Linked DNA regions of Nothobranchius furzeri. The protein of the gene in region 3 binds, or shares a complex with, the protein of the main gene of each other region. Links are inferred from orthologs where the notes say so. Each region holds a gene or a part of one and is shown on either strand. Other genes may lie near its edges.

Region 1 (6,287 bases), on a different chromosome or scaffold from region 3:
AACGTGACTTTTTTTAATTCATTCTGAGATAAAGAATTTCCAATGGAATACTACCAGTTTAGTTTTAATTTCAACAAGTTCCTCTACATCAATATTCTTTGTTTCGTATGCAAAAACAGCACCTTAACATCACACAACTTACATCAGGCAGAGATTCAGACACCACGCTGCAGCTGTTAGCAAACAGGCTAACGTCTGCAGCATGGTGGTATTTTAAACCGGACAGAAAAGGCAGAGCAACAGCCACGTGTAGTAAGTGCATACTGGGCATTCAACATGCTGGAAGAATGTTTCCATGATTCTCTGCCTTCAAACAAACTACCTTCTCTTTCCCCTTTGGGTGTCAAAATGAATCACCGGTCTCCATTAATTCCCAGTTTGCCACTTACAGTCCCAGTTCACAGTGAACTCGGACAAAAAAGTGGAACCAGCTGACAGAAAGGTACGCTAATATATGAAAAAATAATTGCATACAAACATGTTTCCTGCAGCCCCAAAGCCCAAAGCACAGGTAGGTGTTGTGCGTTAAAAGTTAGCCTATCAGCAGAGGTGCCGCTTACCTTATCCGTTACGGGATTGTGCATCCATCAGTCCAGCTGCATAATGAAGGAGGAAACAACCTTTAAATATATTCACAATGTAAACGCGTTTTTAAATCGGTGTACTTCCCAAACAAATGAAAGTGACAAAGGACAACTTGTAAGTGTTTTTTTATCTTTTTTTATTTTGATGCTTTGCTGAAAACGATCGGATCAGGAGCTAATAAACATGATCGTAACACGATTTCTTAAATGGTGGCTTTACAAGTAAACGCACAACTTAGACAATCAAAAAATGGGTACAGACAGAAGCTTATAACCCCAACCCCCCCACACCATATGAAGCTTAAGCTAAAATTTAAGAGTAGCATACTGATACCATAAGAGTTATACACCAGAATTGAAATTCATGAGCATGTATTCAAATCCACATTCTTGCTTTAAAAATAAAATAACCGTTAACACTTTCTGCAATTTTTCATTGACATGATTCATAGTATTTAATCACATTTAAAGTAAACATACCTTGAACTTGAACATCCCTTCTGAAGTGAATCATGAGTGGACTTTTTAAAACAAACTCATCAGAATTTTTTTTTATCTAATCGATTGATTAATTGAAAGAAGATTTGATAGAATGGTCTAATACAACAATATTCCACAGCTGCAGCCCTGCTGTATGTAACTTCAACAACTTTCTCTTAAAATGTCTAATTTTAACTCTTTTGAATAAATAACATATTCTAAATAAAGATCGGAAGAACCAATAACCGAGAATGTAACTCAGCCGACCCACCTCCCAAGAAATTGACTTATTTTAATTGTTGAGTTCCGATTTTCATTGTTTATTGTTCAAGAGTCTACTCCACATATTGGCAGCATGGAATAAGTAGCTAGCTAACGTAAAAAATAAAGTGAAATAAGTATTTAAAAGTCATCCAGAGGCTAAATTACACTGTATGAATGTGTGAAGCAAAATTAAAACTCAGCTGAAAAAGGGTTTTGGATTTTCATGGCTGTATTTATAAGAAAATCCAGTGTTTTAAAAAGTGTTCGCCAAACAGAAGATGGCTTCTGTTCTGAGCCCGTACCAGCTGATGACAACACGCCAGAAACTCTGCTCAAACACTCCTGTAAACCGTGGCGGATCTCCGGTGTTTCTGTGTTAGCATTATAGCAGACAACAATGTGTCATTCAGATGTAGCGTCTAAAACTCTGCTAGCATCGCCTTCCAGCTCAGCTCTCGCTTCACCACGACAGACCGGTAAAGCGCCCGCATCACTGCAGACACAGCACCAATCCACCTATCAATCTCACCCTGCATTTTTCCCTCACTCATGAACAAGGCCCCGAGGTACTTGAACTCCTCCACTTGGGGCAGGACCTCATCCCTGACCCGGAGATGGCATCCTACCCTTTTCCAACTGAAGACCATGGTCTCGGATTTAGAGGAGTGGATACTCATCCCAGCCGCTTCACACTCTGTGAACCGTTCCAGCTAAACCTGGAGATCACTGTCTAACGGAGCCAACAGGACCACATCATCTGCAAAAAGCAGAGACCTGATCCTTTGGCCACCAAAATTGATCCCATCAATACCTCTGCTGCACCTAGAAATCCTGTCCATAAAGGTTATTAATGGAATCGATGAAAAGGGGAAGCTTGGCAGAGTCCAACTCTCACCAGAAATGAGCTTGACTTACTGCCGGCAATGCAAACCAAGCTTTGACACCGGTCATACATGGACCTATCAGCTCGTATCAAAGGGTCTGGTACCCCATACACCCGGAGGGTCAGGGTACCAGGCCACCTGGGGGACACAGTTAAACGCCTTCTCTAAATCTACAAAACACATGTAGATTGGTTGGGCAAACTCCCACGCACCCTCCAGGATCCCCCTAAGGTTTTAGAGCTGGTCCAGTGTTCCACAGCCAGGACGAGAACCACTTTGTAACTCCTGAATCCGAGGTTCGACAATCCGACGGACCCTCCTCTCCAGAACCCCTGAATGGACCTTACCAAAGAGGCTCAGAAGTGTGATCCCCCTGTAGTTGGAACACACTCTGCAGCTTTTAAAATAGGGGGACCCCCCCACCCCCACCCCACCCCACCCTCACCCCAGTCTGCCAATTCAGTGGAACTTCACCCATTGTCCACGCGATACTGCAGAGCAGCATCAACCAACAGCCCCACAACATCCAGAGCCTTAAGGAACTCTGAACAGATCCCATTCATCCTCTGGGCCTTGCCATTGAGAAGATTTTTGACCATCTCAGTGACCTCAGATGGGGAGTCCAACCCAAAGTCCCCATACTCTGCTTCCTCACTGGAAGACGTGCCGGTGGGATTGAGGAGGTCTTTGAAGTACTCCGCCCACTGATTCACAACATCCTGAGTTGAGGTCAGCAGCACACCGTCCCTACTATAAACCGTATTAGTAGCATACTGCTTTCCCCTCCTGAGACACCGGATGGTGGACCGGAATCTCCTCAAAGCCATGTGGAAGTCTTGCTCCATGGTCTCACCAAACTCCTCCCATTCCCACGTTTTTGTCTTCGGGACCACCCGAGGATGTGATCTGCTGACCTCAGTGAGCACTTTGGAATATGGGGGTGATCAGCTCAGAGAGATTAACAGGTGCTAAGTAATTTAAAGCCTTGTGCAAAAAGGTCAGAATATTAAATTGTACCCGGAACGCTACCGGAAGCCAATGGAGATGTTCCAAGACTGGAGTAATATGGCTACGTCTGTTTGGTTTCGTGAGGAATCTAGCAGCAGCATTCTGGACTATCTGTAGACGATTTAGAGCTGAGCTAGGAGCTCCAATAAGGAAGGCATTCGCGTAGTCAAGACGAGAGGTTATAGAAGCTTGTAAACCCGATTCCAAATGCCGTTGCTTTAAAATTGGTCTAAGACGACGTAGCTGATGAAAGCAAGACCTTACAGCTGAATTTATCTGAGGAACCATCGATAGGTCATCATCTAATTTTACTTCAAGACTTGTCAGACACAGTTTGGGGTTAAAAATTAGGTCGAAGTCAGACTGAGAGCCAGAGTGATTTCTAGGGTTGAACCCGATGGACTCTGATTTAAACTTGTTTAGTTTGTGGTAATTGGCAGCTAGCCAACCCTTTACGTCCTTCAGGCATGCAGTGATACAAGAGTCCGCATTGCTCTTATCTAGTGCGATAATTAATAATTATTATTGTAAACATAATGATGGTGTATTTATGTACATGCCAGTGTACCCGTGTTTTTGTTTTGCCCACGTTTTAAAATGTGACTTTACCTTTCCAAGGGAACAACACAATAAGAACATGGTTGCAAAGCAGATTGTAGTTGTTTAATATTTTAATTAATTACATTGTTTTGTGATGTCATTTGAGTCCATATGTCTAACTCCACCCCCTCCACCTTGCCTCAGGTATCCTCACTGCCTCCACATGCTAGAGCTGCTGCAGTATGAACATTTCAGGAAGGAGCTGGTTAACGCTCAGTGTGCCAAGTTCATCGATGAGCAGCAGCTTCTGCACTGGCAGCATTACTCCCGTAAACGGACGCGGCTGCAGCAGGCGCTCGCCGAGCAGCAACAGCCTCCTCAACAACCGCCTCTACACGGGAACACCACTGCCAAGTGATGAAGAGATCCTGCTTCCTGCTGTAAATAAACTCTTCCACTGAGGTGTTTCTCCTCAGGAGTTACATTCAGGACTAAAGCAAAAATCCAAACGTATCAAAAATTTAGATGGTCCACGTTTGTTCTGACTAATTCACAGAAGCAGTATATATTTATTTCTGTCTGGTGACATTACAGCTCTTGTTTTTAAATAAATCATTTAAAATAAGTTTGTTTTATATTTTTAAAGTAAATAAATACTTCACTGGAAATATCAGCTGCAGTTATTGATTCCAGTAAGGTGGAATTGGCCTCACTGCAAAAGAAGTTAACAGCTGGATGTACAGAATAATCTGATAAGACAAGCTACCTACCCCAGTGTGTGTGTGTGTGTGTGTGTGTGTGTGTGTGTGTGTGTGTGTGTGTGTGTGTGTGTGTGTGTGTGTATGTATATATTTATATAATACACTGAACAAAAATATGAATGCATCTCTTTTGTTTTTGCTCCCATTTTTAATGATCTGAACTCAAGCATCTGAAAATGTGTCTACATACACCAAACACCCATGACTCTCAGATGTTGTTCTGAAATGTGTACATGTGTGTTAGTGAGCACTTCTCCCTTACCAAGATCATCCATCCCACCTCACAGGTGTGGCATATCAAGGGGCTGATGACAGCATGAATAATGTACAGGTGTGCCTTAGACTGCCCACAATAAAAGGACACCCTGACATGTGCACAGCTATTCGTTATGGGGGTGGTAAGGCAGAAAACCAGTCAGTATCTGGTGTGGCCACCATTTGCCTCACGCAGAACAACACATCTGTCACATAGAGTTGATTGTGAGGGTCGCCTCGTATAAGTATCTAAGTATGTGGATGGATGAACGGTTGACATGGAGGGTTCATGTGATAAATCTAGTGAACAAGTGCACTAAGGTGCTGCATGTCATGCGGTGTTTGGCTGGGCCGGACTGGGGAGCCGATAGGTCCATGCTGCTGATGGTTTACAGGGGTGTGGTGTGCTCAATCCTGGATTATGGATGCTTTGTGTATGGCTCTGCAGCCCCCTCGACCTTGCGGAGGCTGGATATGGTGCAGGCAGCAGCAGTTAGTAGCGGGGCCTTTTGTACAACCTCTGTGCCGGCACTTCAGGTGGAGGTGGGAGAGATGCCCCTGGAGTATCGTCGGGTCAAGCTGGGGCTACAATACCTTATAAGGGTGCTGCGTATGGGGGATGAGGCTGTGGCGCTGGGTTTGCTGGAGGAGCAGTGGGAGTTAGGTGGCGGGAAAGGGCAGGGAGGCTTTTTGGAAAGGCTCAGGGGACGTGGGTAGATTGGATCTCCTGGGCTGGCCAGTGGTTTCACATTTGGTCAGGTTGGATGTTCCGCACTGGCAGCCACCCAACCCAGGGGTGGATATGAGACTCTCAGGGCAGGGCAGGGGGAGAGGTCAGGCGGAGGAGGTAGTGGAGTACTTGAAGACTGGATGGTCCTTGTGTGTGCCGTTATACACGGATGGCTCAAGGCACCCTGAGAGTGGCAGGGCTACGGTGGGATTTGTGATTCCTAGCTTGGGGCACGTGTTTGGTAGCTGGCTACATGACCACGGTTCAGTCACAGCGGAAGTGGTGGCTATACTGTGCGCCTTAAGGTGGGTAGGGGAACATGGGCCAATGATGGCGGTCGTGTGCTCCGACTCGGCGGCAGCGTTGAGAGCGCTGGCAGGTATGAGATTGGGCTCTAGGCCAAATCTGCTAGTCTCCATACGCCGGTTGCTCTGTGAACTGCAGAAACAGGGCAGTGTTGTGGGGTTCATTTGGGTTCTGGGACATTGTGGACAGGGATGTGGCCTGTTCCTGGTGGGCAAACACCCAGATGGGAGATGTGTTTGTGGGAAACCGGAAACGGTCTCCTATGTATTGCTGAGCTGCTGCAGGTACGAGGATGAGTGGCGAGTCCTGTTTGGGATGTTGGGGCAGTGTGGGATGGAAGTGTTCAGTGTCCAGACGTTGTTGGAGGCTCGGGATAAACAACGTATGAAGCTGTTGACTTGCGCACAGTGGGAGCGTATGACAGGATATAGCAGGTAGGCGTAGCTGTAGCGTGTGACGTTGCGAAGGCAGCAAT
Region 2 (5,292 bases), on a different chromosome or scaffold from region 3:
TTATAACAGCCCAATATGATCTGTTCCGTGTGTCTGCGTGTTTAGCATAAAACAATGTAAGTGAATTCACACACATTGTAGTGTTTTTATGTAGGTGAATGCAAGCCTTCCCTTCCATTGCTTTATGCTAAAACAACTGGTTACAACATGTTTTTTCTGACTTGGTTAACTCTGGGGAATCTAACAACACACAAGTTTAGGGACAGAAGATCCCTATAAGAATATTAAAATAATAAAAATGCAGCAATAAATAAAACGTAATACTTGTGCTTCGTAACAAAGTAACACTCTGTGGAAGTTAACTTGGTGAAGTATTCACAAAACTTATTCATAAAGCTGGCGCCATCTGCTGGGTAGGTAGCGCAATATCAGCCATATCAGCCGACTTTTTAGCCGATAGCCGATACTGTTAATGACCCCAATATCGGCCGATAATATCAGCAGGTCGATATATCGGTCGGGCCCAAGACTAATGGTGAGACGGTTGTCCCGTGGTTTCATATATTTGAAATGCATCTTTCCAGGTCTTGTTTATGCATCGATGTGGTGAAACTTTACACAGCTAACACAGATCCACCTCTGGATATTAGGAAAATAATACTTTATAGGTTATATGGATCTGCCCTATTGATGTTTGATCAAAGGAAAAGTGCTTCAGCTGCTGGTTGGAATTTATTAAGAATCTAAAGGAAGTTTCCCCAAAATTCAGTGAAACGTGTATTTAAAGAGCATTTTATTCATCTTTCCCTGATAAACACAAACCATTGCAACTGTGAGTTCTTGTTTTTCCCCCCATTTTTGCTGCATTACAGTGTTAAAATCCATCCTTCTACACTCATCTCCTCCCGTCTGGATTAGGCTAACTCAGCTCAGATCCTACATGACTCTTATGGGTTTTTCTTGTTCTTTTTTGATTGCTTTCTGTAACGGTCACTTTCATTTAGACAAAAACATGTTATAAGTGTGTTTGTTTCTGACCACAACCAAAGTGTGGGAACTGAAGAAGCTTCTGGGATGAGAGGCTAAATGTCTCCAACATAACCAGAAAAGTCCAGCTGTTTATAACTGAAACCATCAGGATGATCATGTCCAGGATGACTGAGTCGACACCTCCGTGCTGCAGCAGCATTCAGTCAGAACAAAAAGTGAAGCTTGAATGTAGCTGCTGTCAGTAACAATCTAACAGATTTAAACATTAAAACTCACACCAGATTAAATAGTTCAAAAAGGAAATAAAAAATGTCACAACTGTGTGTTGTGACATTTTTTATTTTTATATTATTATCCCTGTGGGCTACAGTGGGCATAACCCGGTGTGGTCCACCAGAGAGAAAGCTCTGCAGGCGACAGACAGCTGGTGTGTTCAGCTCTGAAAAGTGCCGATCAGAATTTGCAGATCACGTTTGTTTTTCACGGAGGTCAGCTGCGAATTCCTCTTCCGGTCAGGATCTAGGAATTGAAATAAAAAACTGAGCGTTTTTGGTTCTTTTTAAAACACAGGAAAGGTTTCTGTGTTTTAAAAAGAACCAAAATGTTATTAGAAACTAGACACAGTAACAACACACCAAAGAAACTTTGAGCGTTTCCGGGAAAAACTCACTCCTGGTCCCGGTTCCCATCGATGCTCGATGCCCAACTCTACAGTTAAGTCACTCCAATGTTTTAGTTGTTATAAAAGACAGTTTATACAGCTTATCTTGGCTTCTATTTCATCTATTTTTCAGCTGATTGTTTTAGTGTTTGTACATTTTCCATCTTTTGTTATTTAGTCTCAATGTTATTTTTCTCTTTTTATGCTAAATTTTGAAATGTTTTTGATGCTTCATCTCATTAAAAGTGCTGGATTTGTTCCGTGTAAGCATCTTTGGTCTTCTGCCATGCTACTTTTATACATGCTATATAAATAAAGATGGTATGGAACAAGACACATTCTGAAGTGTCAGTATAAAACAAAACCAGTCTTCATAAAGACCTGAACTTACGCGGCACTCAAGTGTTTTAATTCTGCTCTTTTTAACTTACCTGGTAACCGTCCTGCAGCCAGAGCATCACCTGGCAGGTGTCCGTTCACACCGTTGGATGGCAGGTTTGCCATGTGACCCAGCATCCCGCTGCGCATTTCCAGGTCGGTGGGATAAGGTCTGCGTGGATCTCCTGTCACCAACGTTTGGATGGTGTGTTAATGAAGTCAAACCTGCCCTCTACTGACAGCCAGTGGGAACTGCAGGGGCCTCCAGCTCCTACCTGGCACCCAGTTGAGTGGAGCACACACGGCGTTGCTGGCACTGATTCGGTGAGCGTATTTGATGATTTCCTCTGATGAAATGCTTCCTGCAATTAAAAACTCAAAATCAAGACAAATGAAAGAAAAACAAGAACAAGACAGACTTCATTAGTGTGTGTGTGTGTGTGTTCCATGTGTGTGTGTACGTGTGTGTGCGCGCGTGTGTGTTACGTGTGTGTGTACGTGTGTGTTTCGTGTGTGTGTGTGTGTGTGCGTGCGTGTGTGTGTTCCATGTGTGTGTGCGTGTGTGTGCCTGCGTGTTACGTGTGTGTGTGCCTGCGTGCACGTTTGTGTGTTCCGTGTGTGTGTGTGTGTGTGTGTGTGTGTGTGTGTGTGTGTGTGTGTGCGTGCGTTCCATGTGTGTGTGTGTGTGTGTGCGTGCGTTCCATGTGTGTGTGTGTGCGTGCGTGTGTGTGTTCCATGTGTGTGTGCGTGTGTGTGCATGCGTGTTACGTGTGTGTGTGTGTGCCTGCGTGCACGTTTGTGTGTTCCGTGTGTGTGTGTGTGTGTGTGTGTTCCATGTGTGTGTGCGTGTGTGTGCATGCGTGTTACGTGTGTGTGTGCCTGCGTGCACGTTTGTGTGTTCCGTGTGTGTGTGTGTGTGTGCATGCGTTCCATGTGTGTGTGTGTGTGTGTGTGTGTGCGTGCGTTCCATGTGTGTGTGTGTGTGTGTGTGTGTGTGTGTGTGTGCGTGCATGTGTGTGTTCCATGTGTGTGTGCGTGTGTGTGCATGCGTGTTACGTGTGTGTGTGTGTGTGCCTGCGTGCACGTTTGTGTGTTCCGTGTGTGTGTGTGTGTGTGTGTGTGCGTGCGTTCCATGTGTGTGTGTGTGTGTGTGTGCGTTCCATGTGTGTGTGTGTGCGTGCGTGTGTGTGTTCCGTGTGTGTGTGCATGCGTGTTACGTGTGTGTGTGCCTGCGTGCACGTTTGTGTGTTCCGTGTGTGTGTGTGCGTGCGTGCGTGTTCTGTGTGTGTGTTCCATGTGAGTGTGTTCCGTGTGTGTGTGTGTGTGTGTGTGTTCCTCACCTTTCCGGGCTTTTTCTATAGACTTAAGTTTCTCTTTTGCCTGGTAAACAGCGGTGGCCTTAAATAAAAGAACAAGGGAACCAAAAATCATTTGAGGAAAGAAAACACTCAGATTTAAAGAATGATGTGTTTGTGAGTTTCTACTAATTATTCATGTTGACCAAAACCAGCAGCGTTGGTGGAGACTTCACACAAACCCACTCTGAAGCAGCAGCTGCTCCACCCTTCTCCATGACAGCTTCATGCTTTTGTTTGGTTTGTAAATTCCCATCAGCTATTGTAAAAGTTCAGTCTTTAAGCAGTTTACAAACAAGCAGCAGCACACAGCTGCAGGAATGGAATGCAGCTCATACAGATGGTGCTAAATCATATCACCGCATTGCAATTCCTACAACAAACCTACTAGTATGTGTTCGGCCTCCTTCAGCTGCTTCTGGAGCTGCTGGATGTCGCTGTCTCTTTTCTCCACCTCCTTCTCCAGCAGCTGCATCTCCTGGTGAACCTTCCCCTGCTGCTGGGCCACCTCCATCAGCTCCTGGAACTCCGTGTCCCTCTGCACCAGCAGATCAATGATCTAGATGGGAAAAACAGATTGCAAATGTTACATCCAAATTCATATTCAAAGGATAACCAGTTAACAGCCATGGCATGTCTAATCAGCAGACTTTGCTGCATCATTATAGACACCAGTGTACCTCAGATCTTCCAGGAAAAGTGATTCCAACAATAACAATAATAGGTAGTAGTTGAAATGTAAACACTCAAAAATGAAAAGGCAGCAGAAAAAAAATGCCAAAAATACAACAACGTCAAATAAAACCAATACAGAAATCAAACATCATCTCATTATGAGGAATATAACATCAAATCTGCACGGAGAAGTAAAAAGTGTCTCCTGAGGGTACCTGAACATACTGTGAAAGGCAGAAGATGGGATTTGCCAGATTCTGGGGGCGTGGCAACTAGACGCCGGCTGGTGCTTGTCAGGTGTGATGAGGCCGGAGATGATAAAAGGGTGGCAGATCTACCAAGGTGTGTGTGTGTATGGTCGACCTGTCATTGTGACACCCGGTTCTGGGGGGTGGGATCGTTCGCAGTTGGTTAGGACTGCCGGCGATGAAGACAGCTGAGTAGGTGGGCAGTGTTCCAGTGCTAGGACGGGAGGCTTGACGCCTTCTTTAGGTAGCGAGGGCTGGGAGTATTTGGGTGCCGAGACCACGCCGACATCTGCCACAGCAAACTCTGGCAGCCGGACCCGAGCCATGGACTCACCTGCCGTCCACGCAAGCTGAACCCCGGGGCGTTGGACGGTGTTGGAAGCTCAGACCCCGGGGAGGGGGTCGCATCGACTGGGCCAGCTAAGTACCTGATTGTTTGATTTTACTTATGCTGAACAGCTGGTTTTGTCTTAAAGGGACAAGAGGCAGTAGCCGACGAGTTCCACAGCGGAACTCGCCCGTGGTGTTTTATTATTCAGTTGTGCTAATAACGGGTATTTTTGATCATTTCTGCCTACTGGTGTTGTTTTAGGTTCTGACTGGAGGGTAAGACTTTCTGCCAGCGCACCCACTGAAACTTATATTAAAATACTTTACATAGAAGTAGGGTTGTCATGGTAACCGGTGTAGCAGTGAACTCTGGGGAAAAAAGTTGACAATAATAATAACCGCCTTGTTTTTAAAAAAACTATATTATCTCGGTGATTACAGTGGCTGCGGTGACCCTTACCAGCCACCGTATCATCTGCTGAAGTTGCCGGCGGCACATGCGCGCTTTGTTGTTTACAACCAAAACTTTCTTGAAGCTAAAGCTGAAATAATGGCCAAAGGAGGAGACGGCAGCGCTCAGGACATTTATTATCCCTCAAAGAAGACAAAGGGGGAAGTACGGGCATCTTTTGGATATTTGAAGAATGCCGAGGGAGTTGATAGAAGACGACTATCCTGTTTGCAGCACGTGCAGAAAAAGTGTCTGTGAAAGGCA
Region 3 (6,112 bases):
ATTTTTTTTATCTGATCTCCTTTATAAGTGAGATTTTACCTAAACCATGTGATTTGTACCTTGTGGTAGCTCATGTGTTTGTTGTGCCAGTCGCTCTGCAGCCAGTGCTCGGGGGCGTTCTCCTTCACAAAATCATTCACTCGGTTCCTGAAGTCATTGGGCTTCAGCAGCAGCAGCTGGATTATGAAGTAGCACACCTGAGCCTCGTTCCCCTCGTGGCTCCTCATGGCCTGGATGGCAGAGGAAGAGGAGTAAAGCCCGAGCGTGGCGTTTGGAGCGTTAAGCTTGGTTTATGCTTGACGCGTCCGCGAGGTTTGCACGGCTCCGTCATTTTAACAACCACGCCCCTCCACACGGCCAAAAATTTCCGCACCGCGCACCTAGGAAATTTTCTAACCACGCGGACGGTCGGATGCGGAAAAACATGGTGGACTGGCAAGAACTAGTATGGCAGAGGTTCGTAAATACAGACATTTGTATGATTCAGCTCTCAGAGATCACCGTGATCAACATGTTGTTAATAATTCTTGGAGAGAAATAGCTCGCACTGTCGGAAAAGACGAGGACGCTGTTAAAAATGCTGGAATGCCGTGTTGTAAACAACAGTAATTTTTACTTCTACTATGGTGTAGTGTTGGATGCATGCCGTAGAGCTCCATGCTGCCCCCTACAGTTTGGGAGAATATTGGCTCACCGCAGAGACAAGCCGCGTGAACCATAAACGCTGCGAGTTGCGAAGCGCGTTCCATCACCAAGCGGAAAGTAAATGCGTCAAGCATAAACCAAGCTTTAGCGTCAAATGAGCGTAGATTTCTCTGCGCGTCCTCACCAGACACAGAATGAGCCTGTCCAGCGTGACTATGTTGTACTTCCAGACCATGTCGTTGAGGATTTCAATGCACTTGTTGAGTTGCTGTCCACCTGCAGACGTTGAAAATTCATAAACGAGGAAGTCGGCGAAGGTACGGACGTGAGCCACCAGAGCGCGAGCTCCAATTCGCTCCAACACCCTGATGAAGAGGAGAAAAAAAACCAAAAAGAGTGACGAAGTGAGCCTAGACAAGTTTGGATTTAAAAGCAGCAAAGATCAGAGCGGACCTGAAGCCTATCTGGTTGATGTGGTCGGTCTCCAGCAGCATCTTCCACAGCAGACACAGGAAGAGGGGAGGAGAGCCCTGCATGGAGAAGTGGGTGATGATGTCGTTCTCGTTGGCCATCGACTTCCACTTCCTGTACTCTTCTTCCACGTTTTTCTTCAGGTTGAAACGAGACTCCTGAGGAACGTTGTTCTGTTTAAAGAACGCCTGAAACACACACAGGTGCTGAAGTTAACCCAACAAGTTGTTTAATTTAATAATTCATTTATTCACTTTTGTCCCGCCCTGTTTGTTGAGGGGGAAACCTTCTGCACCTGCAGCGGAGCAGGGAAGCAGGACAGAGTGTGTGAGGCCCAGTTGTGAGGTGTGAAGTTCATGATGGTCTGGAGGATGTCCTTACACCAAGTCCCATGGATGGAATCAGACCCTGTGAAAAAGTCTCATACAGACAAACCAGCACAGAGACTCAAACACCTGATTCTATTATTATTATTTAAAAAGGCAGTAAATTAAACCAAATGTGAGTAAATGCAAATCCTGTCTAAGAGGTACCGGTGACATGTGTGGCTCGAGCCAGAGTGAGGATCAAGGCTCGGTTCAGCTCCTCCGATTCAGCTGACAGAACCGTCTTCGGGTCGTTGAGGAAGCGGGTGAACTGAGGTTGTACCTCTGAACTCCCCAAAGCTGTGATCAGCCTCAGAGCCGTGCTCTCAACGCTGAGAAGGAGACGAGAAATCTGTTAACTAGGTCATAGGAACAGCTTGCGATGTCTCGAGATGCAGAGTTACCACAGGTGCAGCTGGTTCTGGTTGGTCTGCGGTACCGCGGACAGGCTGTGCAGATGACTCAGCAGCTGGATTCTGTAGTGCGGCTGGACGTGGTGCATCCTGTAGCTGAACATCTCCAGCAGCGTGTGCAGGATTCCCCACGCGTGAGACTTAAACACGTTGGGCAACAGCTGGCCTGAAGTGAAGAGGTGGTTAATCAGATTATTTATGATGAATGAGATATGTGCCTGCCAACTCCGGGTCGGGGGAGGGGTCCTACCTCAAGGGGAGGAGTTTAAGTATCTCGGGGTATTGTTCACGAGTGAGGGTAGGAGGGATCGGGAGATCGACAGGCGAATTGGTTCGGCGTCTGCAGTGATGCGGACGCTGAGCCGATCTGTCGTGGGGAAGAGGGAGCTGAGCCAGAAAGCCAGGCTCTCGATTTACCGGTCGATCTAAGTCCCAATCCTCACCTACGGTCATGAGCTTTGGGTAATGACCGAAAGAACGAGATCGCGGATACAAGCGGCTGAATTGAGTTTCCTCCGTAGGGTGGCCGGGCTCAGCCTTAGAGATAGGTTGAGGAGCTCGGACATTCGGGAGGGACTCGGAGTAGAACCGCTGCTCCTCCGGATCGAAAGGAGTCAGTTGAGGTGGTTTGGGCATCTGGTCAGGATGCCTCCTGGACGCCTCCCTGGGGAGGTGTTTCGGGCATGTCCTGCCAGCAGGAGGCCCCCGGGTCGACCCAGGACACGTTGGAGAGGTTACATCTCCAATCTGGTCCGGGAACGCCTTGGGGTCCTGCCGGAGGAGCTGGTGGAGGTGGCCGGGGAGAGGACGGTCTGGAGCTCCCTAGTTGGGATGCTGCCCCCACGACCCGGACCCGGATAAGCGGAGGAAGTCGATGACGAGATATGTTATGAGCTAAATCTCAGAGCTCACTTCAAGTGTTCTATCAACAAGGATCAACCTAAGTAAACCCACTGATGAATCCTTTGATGCCCAGTGACTCGATCTCCATGTAGACCAGCAGTCGGCTGTATGTCTCCACCAGTGCGGGGGCCAAGGCCAGGCTGGACTTGGTGTGGGCCAGCTTGATCACACGTGTGGCGATGCTGTGGATCAGACTGAAGACAAACAGGAAGTGAAAGTTTTAAACAAAAACAGCTGAAGTAACTTAAGTTTCTTGTCCTACCTCATCTTAGCATGCACAGTGATGGAATCCAACAGATTCATGGGCAGCGGGGTGATGGATCCCGACGCCATGCAGCTGGTTCCAGGCAGGTTGATCCTTACAGATCCGTTTCCATAAATGGTCTCCACCAGGACCCCCATAGGCAGGGTGAAGCACTCAGAGTTTGTGCTATAAGCGTTACACAGCAGGGCGATTTTATAGTCGGACATGCCCAGGGTTTTGTTACGAAGAGACTGCTGGAGGAACCTAAAACCCAAAGACAGAATTAACTAGATAAAAGGGTGATTTTAGTCATTTAAGGCAATGTTCCAGATTTTTACTCGTGGTGGAGTTTCAGAGAGTGTGGGATTGGTATCTGCAATTTGGAGTTGTCATTCTGAGCTTTGCGGTTCAGATGGATCCAGATGCAGGTCATGGCAAAGGAGTGGGTGGACTGGGGCTTGTTAATGTCAGGAACCTGGATGCACTGCAGAGGGACAGACAGTTTAGGTATCGTCTGCATTACTGACTAAAGTAATGATGAGAAATACAACAATTATTAGTTAAAATGGTTAAATTAATATTAAATTAATATTTTTATTTCAAAGCAGCCAGACAAAGAGCAAACTGAAGTCTTTTTGGTACAAATAACAGCGATCGTGTCTTCATGTTACCTCTTTTTCAGGGTACAGCAGATCAAAAAGCTTCATGACCGGCAGGAAGTCAGCCAGTGCATTTTTCTGAATGCTGCCAGATATAAACTGCAGCAGGACCCACATCAGGTGGTCCCTCCCTTTTATTAGGCCTCGGCCTGCAAGCTGAGGAAAAAGAATATCAGCTTTATTAAAGGGACTTTACGGACTTTTGAATGTTTATGCTCGCTATTGCCCCCTCAGGCCAAAAGCGTAACAGAAGCTTCAATGGTAGGCTCATGCACGATGGTGTACGTGCACACTCCTTAACGAAAATAACAGCTGAGACAGCACGTGCACGCGCGCGCGCGTGTGTGTGTGTGTCTGTGTGTGTGTGTGTGTGTCTGTGTGTGTGTGTGTGTGTGTGGCCCAGAGGACAGAGGACAGGAGAACGCGCAGCTAATTAATTAAATAATTTGGTTCTGTACCTTTCTCTTCAGCACAGCCGACAAAGGTTTATGATGGGTCAGTCCTCCTGCATGCTCAGATCATTCCCTTCCCTTGCTTGAAAAATTGTTCCAAAATGAAAGTTGAACCCACATCTTTTTTATCTGTGAATTCAATGCCGTTCGGCGAGTCTCAAATAAAAATTTGGGCATCTTACTGTAAAAAATATACCATTAATGTAAAAAAGAAACTCTAAATAAACTATGTTCACACCCAGAATCAAACCCAGGTCTTCTGCATGAGAGTCAGACATCTTACAAGGTGAACTAAACTCTAGTAACATTCACAGTATCTGTAACATTTATATCCTTGATGACAGCTGAAACAACGTCAAACCAAAGAACGGTTCGGAGCGAAAATGGCTATTTTGTTGCTAATTTGCAGGAAATATCTAGAAGAAAGTTCTACAGAAAGTAGCTAAGGGTCCTCAGAAATGTAGCTAGCTTTGTCACTAGGCGTTAGGAACAGCGACAAAGTGGCACTGCCCCTCTCTCTGTTGCTAAAGCTACGGATAGCAAATGCTACGAGCTATGCCTGAGCGTGAACGCGCATGAAGCAGCCTGCTCGACCCGAGCATCTCTCTTTTTCTGTGATTTTACAGAAAAACAGGCAATCACAGTAAAAATGCCAGGGCTCATTCTACAGGACCAGGGCATTGCAGGAGAATGTATGAAGAAGACATTTATTATTTCTATACATGTTTTGGCTGTCACACTTCCATAATGTCCCTTTAAGGATTTCCTTACAGTTTATAATTGTGCAACAGAGCCTCCCAATCAAAATAAAACTCAAAAACATGTAGAAAACTGTTTTTAATCTTCCTGCTGCAGCTTTCCTACCTTCTGATGTAAGGAGAGCACCATGTGAGGGAAGCCGGCGAACTGAAACAGCACAAAGAAGATGAGCTGGGAGGAGAGGTGCTGCCACAGCAGCTGGCTCGTTCCTCCAATGTCAGCGTCAAAGTGCTCCTCAGTCTCAGAGCGCTCCATGGCGTACACCACCAGGTCCACCAGCTGCTCCTCCAGCACCGGGCAGCGCTGCTTTTGCTGAGGACAGGGAGGAGAAGGAGGAGGGTGTGGGGTGTTAAAGGATGAAGGAAGAAAGGGGCAAAAGGGGGAGAAAGTTAAGAGAAAAAAAAAACATTTTTTTTTTATTATAAAACATGCTTCTGTTATAGTTACCAACATTTTTAGTCCCTTGCATGCAGGACTGCATCTCCTACCTGTCTGTCATCTGGGTTACACCCGGCTTTTAAATCCCTTCTGGTGTTATTTAGAAATTAGAACTAAAGTATTCAAGTAAGTCTTTAGGTTCAGTCCTGCCACATGCAGTCGGAGAATGATTAGTAACATAAACTTTGTAAAGTTTTTTTTAACAAAAGAAAATAAAGAGGAAACATAAAAATAACAACGATGGAAGAGAGAATTACTAAATTAAGCTAAACAAGGTATTTCAAGGATATTTAGTTGGCTAAAAAAATCTACTTGTTGGGAAAAAAGTGGGTGTGAGTATATTAGGAGGGAAGTAAATTAGAGAGAAGGCGATGAGGAGATACATTAATCTGATCTGCTTGATTTCCTAAACACAATGGTCCTTAGAGACAAACAAAGCCACAGCCCAGGTTGATTTTTATTTCATTTATCGATGCTGATGCTTTTACTCTTTTCCTTAAAGGGACTTTATGGACTTTGAATGTTTATGCTCGCTATTACCCCCTCAGGCCAAAAGCGTAACGGCAGCTTCAATAGTAGGCTCGTGCACGAGGCGCGCATGCTGTACGTGCACACTCCTTAACGAAAATAACAGCTGAGCCAGTCCCGTGTGTGTGTGTGTGTGTGTGTGTGTGTGTGTGCACGCCCACTGGAAGGGGTGGATCCCATAAAGCATAGAAAAACCAGCGGGCTATCACAAGGGGCAAAAACAAGAATGTGTGTG
Region 4 (6,112 bases), about 650 kb from region 3:
CTCCTCGAGGGCTGGTAGCCACTGCCAGCACGTTTTGGTTTCAACTCTGCTTCAATCAGCAGATTAACAGGCTTCTGCAGAGCCTGATGAGCTGCTGCACAGATGATTCAACCGCTGACTCGTGCGTTGAAGCAGAGAAACCACTAAAATGTGCAGAATACCGGCCCTGGAGGCCTTTCCTCGAGTAGCTCTGGGCGAGATTAAAGTGCTTTGCTGTTGCTAATCTATAATCCAGTCCATGCAAAGTAACTTTATTAACTCTTACACTGCTGTCGACTTGACATTGTGATTTATATGGAAATGCATGGTTGTTTACAAGCATAAACATCAAATGCTGCAGCCACACACACACACACACACATCAGGAATTATTTATTTGCTGTAAAACGTTTAAAAAAAGTTAGATTGGAGACATTTTAGGAAGTTAGCAGCAAACTTTAGACTTAAGCTCATCAGCTCTGTAAGATGTTAAAGCTATTTCTTCAAACAGAGGCCATTCAGGAAACTAGGAACTGTTTCGGCAAAAAAAAAAAGTTTTTAATATAAATCCCTTTCAGCAAATATTTACGACAAAAACAGATACTTGAAAACAACCGAAGCCAAACGCTTCAAAAGGAAAACTAGCTCACAAATGTTCTATATTTTTGCACCAGACTAAAAGAATCACCCAAAAACTAAACAAGCAGAAGCGCTTAGCACAAAGTTTAACTCGGCATTTGTATCAACTTCATTAATAAAGCAAAAATTATACAGAAAATACGATCCACAACAGACGAGAGAACGGAAGGGAATAAGTGAATCGTCATGATTGGAACAGTAAATTGTGGTTTATGAACACAGCACAGTGATTTTATCAAGATGCTAACTCTTTAGAGTCACACGTCCAATCAGATCCACTCAACTGCACAGAATCGTTCACTGATGGAGAGAAAACTACAGCGATCCCTGAGCAACGAAACCCCACCCAGACTACACACACACACACACACACACACACACACACACACACACACACACACACACACACACACACACACACACACACACACACACACACACACACACACACACACACACACACACACACACACACACACACACACACACGTGAACATACAGTACTCATGATTACGTTTTCTCAAATCCCACAGAGTTCTAATTTGCTCCTAGGGATGGTTCAAGGACTTCAGGATCAGGCAGTTTTCCCTCTCGCACCTTCACCAGTTTTTATTCATATCCGGTCAAAGTCATCCGCCTGATGGAGAGGACAGCGGGAACGGTCGGTCGGCTCGTCGCTCCGGGCGTTTCCGATCCAAGGGTCCACGGTAAAAGAGTGGGAGGAGAGTCGGTTCGGTGCTCGGAGTTTGTGAGGGCTTGGATCGGGTTTTAGAGCGACGCCGACAAACTCGACTCGTCCCAAAGTTCATGACATTATGGACCCCCCCCCCCCCGTGAACACAGAGGTTTCTGCTAAGACTGGCTGTAGGAGTTGCTTTGGTTCCCGTTGGAGCTCTGATCACCTTCACTGCAGGAAGAAAAACGAAAAGCAAAAGAATTAAACTTGTATTGAAACAATTCTGTTTTTTTCTCTTTCTGATGCAGTTTGGAACAGTTTCAGGAGGAGCCGGTGAATTAGACAGACATAGATCACTAAATGGATGAGAAACCTTTTGGTGAATCCAGGCCCGATTGAGAGGTAAAAAAAATAAACCTACTGCAGAACGTGTTCTCCGTTCATCACACACACGGTGCAACAGAGGGACTAAAAGTCTGAAAGGTACCAGAACCGGGTCAGACCTACCTGTTGGGTGGTGGTTTGGGTTTTGGCATCTTGTTCAGGATAGCAGCGATCTCCTTCCTGTCATCAAAATTCTTCCACTGGTCGTAAAGCTTCAGCATGACACGGATAATTTCCAGGATCTTAAAAGAAAACATCGACTTAGGAACTCGTTCACACACGGACCCGTCCTGGTGCAGGGCATCTGCAGGTTCAAGCGAGCCAAATTCAAGCTATTTAAGCGGGGCAGCAGCAGCTCGACAGGTTGAGCGGGTTGTCCAGTAATCGGAAGGTTGCGGGTTCGATCCCGGCTCCGGACAGAGAATTCTGCTGTTGTGTCCTTGGGCAACACTTGCAGCTGTGGCTACATCGTAGCTCGTCCCCACGCTAGCATGGGCGTGTGAATGGATGAATGATGCACTGTAGTGTAAAGCGCCTTGGAGTCCTGACTCTGACAGGCGCTATACAAGTGCGGCTCATTTAAAAAAATTAAATTTAAGCTATAATTTCCAGCTACCGCCTGGAACCGGTGCCAACCACGTAGCGATCGTGGGATTAGCCATCCAGTAACCATTAAACTTCCCCATGGCGCAAGCTCCCACTAGCTTAACCAGCTAACGTGCTCATCTAAAAGTAGTCCCCCTTCACAACCAACTGCATGTGTACGGTTCCGCTTACGCCAACATCGCACACAAAAAACGTCGAACACTAAGTAGAAATTCACCAAATTTGATAGAAATAAAAGAATCTTGTTAATTGGATCTTTGGTAATTAAAGACCTTTGGAAACTGCATTTAAGGAATATTTGTCATTTTTAAGGCCTTAAATTTGGAAAAGCACATTTGAGACTTTTTAAGGACCCACCCTGTTGTGTGGAACGTAGGATTTAAATGTGAAAATGTTCCCACATCAGTCTGTTTGGGCGTCTAAATGTTGGATTTTATTAAATTTGAGTAAAGAACAAGAAACGCTGATCCCCACCAGACCCTGCCCACTCCCTGACTGGACAAATCAGACTGAAATAGCTTAACGCTGAAGTATACCACTTGGCTATATAACCTGAGAAAGATTAGCCAAAGACGCAGAACTACGTGGATAAAATAAGGCGTCTGTTGTTAAAACATTAAAAAAAACATCCATCTTACTTTGTCCATGTCCACAGAGAGCTCTGCAAACCACTGCCTGGCATCTTTCTGCTGCACCACACAGGCGACGTGTAGACAAGCTGCAGGGGAGAAGAAGAACTGATCAGATCAAATCTAAGGAAGGGAGTCAGAGAAGCAAACTCTCACCGAGGGCGATCATGAAGGGAGGGTAGAGCAGACACAGATCCGTCCTGTAGGTGTCGTTCACTATCCGCCTGAGAAAGAAAAGCGAGACGCTTTAAAACACTCCATCAAATCGTGTTTGACACAAGCAGAACCCAGAGTGGTACCAGGCCAGCGGCAGCAGCATGTCTTCCTGTCCCATGTCCTGCACGTACTGCAGGAGGGGTCTGTAGGGGTGGTACACGATCAGGCAGCAGTCCTGAAACAGAAGGCGACAGTCATCCAGGTGATGGCGTCGGCTCAGCGACAGAGGAAACGCTTTTCTACTCACCATCAGCTCCAGAAGGTAGAACTCACATTCTAATATCTGGGGAGAGACGAGCGGTCTACGGTCAGTCTGAGAGACACGAACGGAAAACAACCAGAAAGATGGGTGCTGTAATTAAAGCTGAGCACTCAGCTGAGTGACCACGCGTTCCAGAGGGACCGTTATTTGTGTCGGACAACAAGCTGAGCTGTGTGATGAAGGAAAAAAAAAGAGGAAGAAACTCGGAACAGAACCGGTCTTTATGAGACCGTCGTCGTCTTCCTCCGCTTATCCGGGTCCGGGTCGCGGGGGCAGCATCCCAACTAGGGAGCTCCAGACCGTCCTCTCCCCGGCCACCTCCACCAGCTCCTCCGGCAGGACCCCAAGGCGTTCCCGGAGCAGATTGGAGATGTAACCTCTCCACCGTGTCCTGGGTCGACCCGGGGGCCTCCTGCCGGAAGGACATGCCTGAAACACCTCCCCAGGGAGGCGTCCAGGAGGCATCCTGACCAGATGCCCAAACCACCTCAACTGGCTCCTCTCGATCCGGAGGAGCAGCGGATCTACTCCGAGTCCCTCCCGAATGTCCGAGCTCCTCACCCTATCTCTAAGGCTGAGCCCGGCCACCCTACGGAGGAAACTCATTTCGGCCGCTTGTATCCGCGATCTCGTTCTTTCGGTCATTACCCAAAGCTCATGACCATAGGTGAGGATTGGGACGTAGATGGACCGGTAAATCGAGAGCCTGGCTTTCTGGCTCAGCTCCCTCTTCACCACGACAGATCGGCTCAGCGTCCGCATCACTGCAGACGCCGAACCAATCCGCCTGTCGATGTCCCGATCCCTCCTACCCTCACTCGTGAACAAGACCCCGAGATACTTAAACTCCTCCCCTTTGAGATCAGCAGATTAATTATTTTTAACTAAACAACAAAAAATAAAAACATTCGACTTCGACTGACCCTAGAACAGCCTGACAGCATTCCCATTTGACTTCTTGGACACTTGGACCATCGTTGCCCAAGGAGCTGTCGTCAATCCGGTGCCCCGCTGTAATCAACGTGTCCAAACGGTTCTGACGAGGTTCTGGGAGCTCTGTGGTGCTACGCATTAACTGAGGAATGTTGCGTACCAGCAACCAGAAATGTAACGGCACTGTGAAAGAGCGTGAGGGCGTCTTGGTGAGCTGGAAAGCATCACATAAACAACGCTGCAGAGGAAGACGCTTAGGTCATCCTCGGGCATGTGCATTAATGGGGGGGGGCTCAAAATGTATGTTTGGAATAAACAAAAATTACAAGTTCCTCACTCACCTAGAATATTTTCACGCTGATAAATCAGCAAGGAAGGTTCAGATGTGCAGCCGGTGCGAAATGCATTCCACGCATCTGATCCAGCGAGATGATTAAGGCCTAGTCCACACGTAGTCGGGTTTTTTTTAAACGAATATCCGCCCCTCCAAAAACTTGCATCCACACCACCTCGTTTTAAAAAAAACTCTGTCCACACGTACCCGGATAAATACGTTGATAAGGACATGCCAGACCTGTAGGCGGCAGTACTTCCCCCGTTCTTAACCTCGTCCTTCGTCTGTGGTCTTCCACAAGGAGCAGTAATTCCACTTGCAAAAACAAACAAGCAGAAAGCGCTTGGACAATTGATAAAGCGAGCGCAGCTCTGAGGGCTTCCATGCTGTCGGCTAGTGTAAACACAGGTCGCACACGTGATGTCAGCATTTTTTTGTCGCGGAAAGTGACGTTGCGGACCTTAAAACTCCAGTTTTGTCTGTCCACACGCAGACACCCAAAACGGAGAAAACGCAGATCTTCACTTTGGCCGGAGTTTTTAAAAAGATCCGTTTTCGTGTGAAAAAACTCCGTTTTCGTGTGGACGACAGGCCAAAACGTAGAAAAATATCTACGTTTTGGCAGATCCCCGGCTACGTGTGGACAGGGCCTTAAGAAGATAGCGGACTTGGGTGACTGGAATTACCCACAATGCATTGCTGCAGGAGAAAAGGCTCAAGTGCCTTTTCTGAAAAGATGTACTTTCAAACAAAAGTAGTTAATTCAAGGATGACTAATTAATGCTCTGAATGTTTTAGACGGAGCAGCAATGAATATAAATTAATTCAAATAATTGTTTGGTTGTTTGTTATTAAAGTTTTATTTTTATTTCTTTTTAACCAGCATCCCGGCATGCGTTGTGGTCGATGAGGCAATTATTTGCACCTCTCTCAAGCATGCTCAGGTTAAACCGCTGCTAAAAAAACCATCACTTCCTCCAAATCATGTGGAGAACTACCAACCTCTCTCTCTCCTCCCTTTTCTGTCCAAAATCATTGAAAGGGTGGCTTTCAAGCAGATCACAGAATACCTCTCACAAAACTGTCTGCTTGACCCTTACCAATCTGGGTTCAAAAAGGGCCACTCCACTGAAACTGCTCTGTTAGCAGTGACTGAATCCTTAAAAGATGCTAGAGTGACTGCCAAACCCTCAGTGCTTATCCTGCTCGACTTATCGGCTGCATTAGACACTGTCAGCCATGACTTCCTTTTGTCCACACTCTCTAGCATGGGCATCACAGAGAAAGCACACGCCTGGTTTGAATCGTACCTCACAGGACGATCATTCAGTGTATCTTGACTTGGACAATCTTCTAACGTGCACCATCTTGCCACAGGAGTCCCCCAGGGCTCTGTACTAGGGCCTCTTCTCTTTGTTATATACACCACCTCACTGAGTGAGATCATTCCATCA

What was found. The genes of interacting proteins can lie anywhere in the genome.
Region 1: med23 (region 3) and med31 share a complex: the UniProt entries of both Homo sapiens proteins name them as parts of the mediator complex. The link is inferred for Nothobranchius furzeri from reciprocal best matches to the Homo sapiens genes MED23 and MED31.
Region 2: med23 (region 3) and med4 share a complex: the UniProt entries of both Homo sapiens proteins name them as parts of the mediator complex. The link is inferred for Nothobranchius furzeri from reciprocal best matches to the Homo sapiens genes MED23 and MED4.
Region 4: med23 (region 3) and ccnc share a complex: the UniProt entries of both Homo sapiens proteins name them as parts of the mediator complex. The link is inferred for Nothobranchius furzeri from reciprocal best matches to the Homo sapiens genes MED23 and CCNC.

Annotation. Positions count from the first base shown.
Region 1 is NC_091750.1:26,551,389-26,557,675, reverse strand, and holds the end of med31 (mediator of RNA polymerase II transcription subunit 31), read left to right. Parts: intron 1-3,964; coding exon 3,965-4,178; 3' UTR 4,179-4,385; downstream 4,386-6,287. UniProt on the Homo sapiens protein: Component of the Mediator complex, a coactivator involved in the regulated transcription of nearly all RNA polymerase II-dependent genes.
Region 2 is NC_091754.1:35,369,151-35,374,442, reverse strand, and holds part of med4 (mediator of RNA polymerase II transcription subunit 4), read right to left. Parts: intron 3,884-5,292; coding exon 3,713-3,883; intron 3,368-3,712; coding exon 3,310-3,367; intron 2,332-3,309; coding exon 2,245-2,331; intron 2,155-2,244; coding exon 2,023-2,154; intron 1-2,022. UniProt on the Homo sapiens protein: Component of the Mediator complex, a coactivator involved in the regulated transcription of nearly all RNA polymerase II-dependent genes.
Region 3 is NC_091742.1:26,133,805-26,139,916, reverse strand, and holds part of med23 (mediator of RNA polymerase II transcription subunit 23), read right to left. Parts: intron 5,224-6,112; coding exon 5,017-5,223; intron 3,857-5,016; coding exon 3,713-3,856; intron 3,526-3,712; coding exon 3,380-3,525; intron 3,306-3,379; coding exon 3,060-3,305; intron 2,992-3,059; coding exon 2,849-2,991; intron 2,061-2,848; coding exon 1,886-2,060; intron 1,814-1,885; coding exon 1,650-1,813; intron 1,537-1,649; coding exon 1,412-1,536; intron 1,305-1,411; coding exon 1,099-1,304; intron 1,011-1,098; coding exon 830-1,010; intron 231-829; coding exon 60-230; intron 1-59. UniProt on the Homo sapiens protein: Required for transcriptional activation subsequent to the assembly of the pre-initiation complex. Component of the Mediator complex, a coactivator involved in the regulated transcription of nearly all RNA polymerase II-dependent genes.
Region 4 is NC_091742.1:26,784,807-26,790,918, reverse strand, and holds the end of ccnc (cyclin-C), read right to left. Parts: intron 3,443-6,112; coding exon 3,377-3,442; intron 3,305-3,376; coding exon 3,213-3,304; intron 3,138-3,212; coding exon 3,070-3,137; intron 3,003-3,069; coding exon 2,923-3,002; intron 1,921-2,922; coding exon 1,802-1,920; intron 1,526-1,801; coding exon 1,471-1,525; 3' UTR 1,325-1,470; downstream 1-1,324. UniProt on the Homo sapiens protein: Component of the Mediator complex, a coactivator involved in regulated gene transcription of nearly all RNA polymerase II-dependent genes.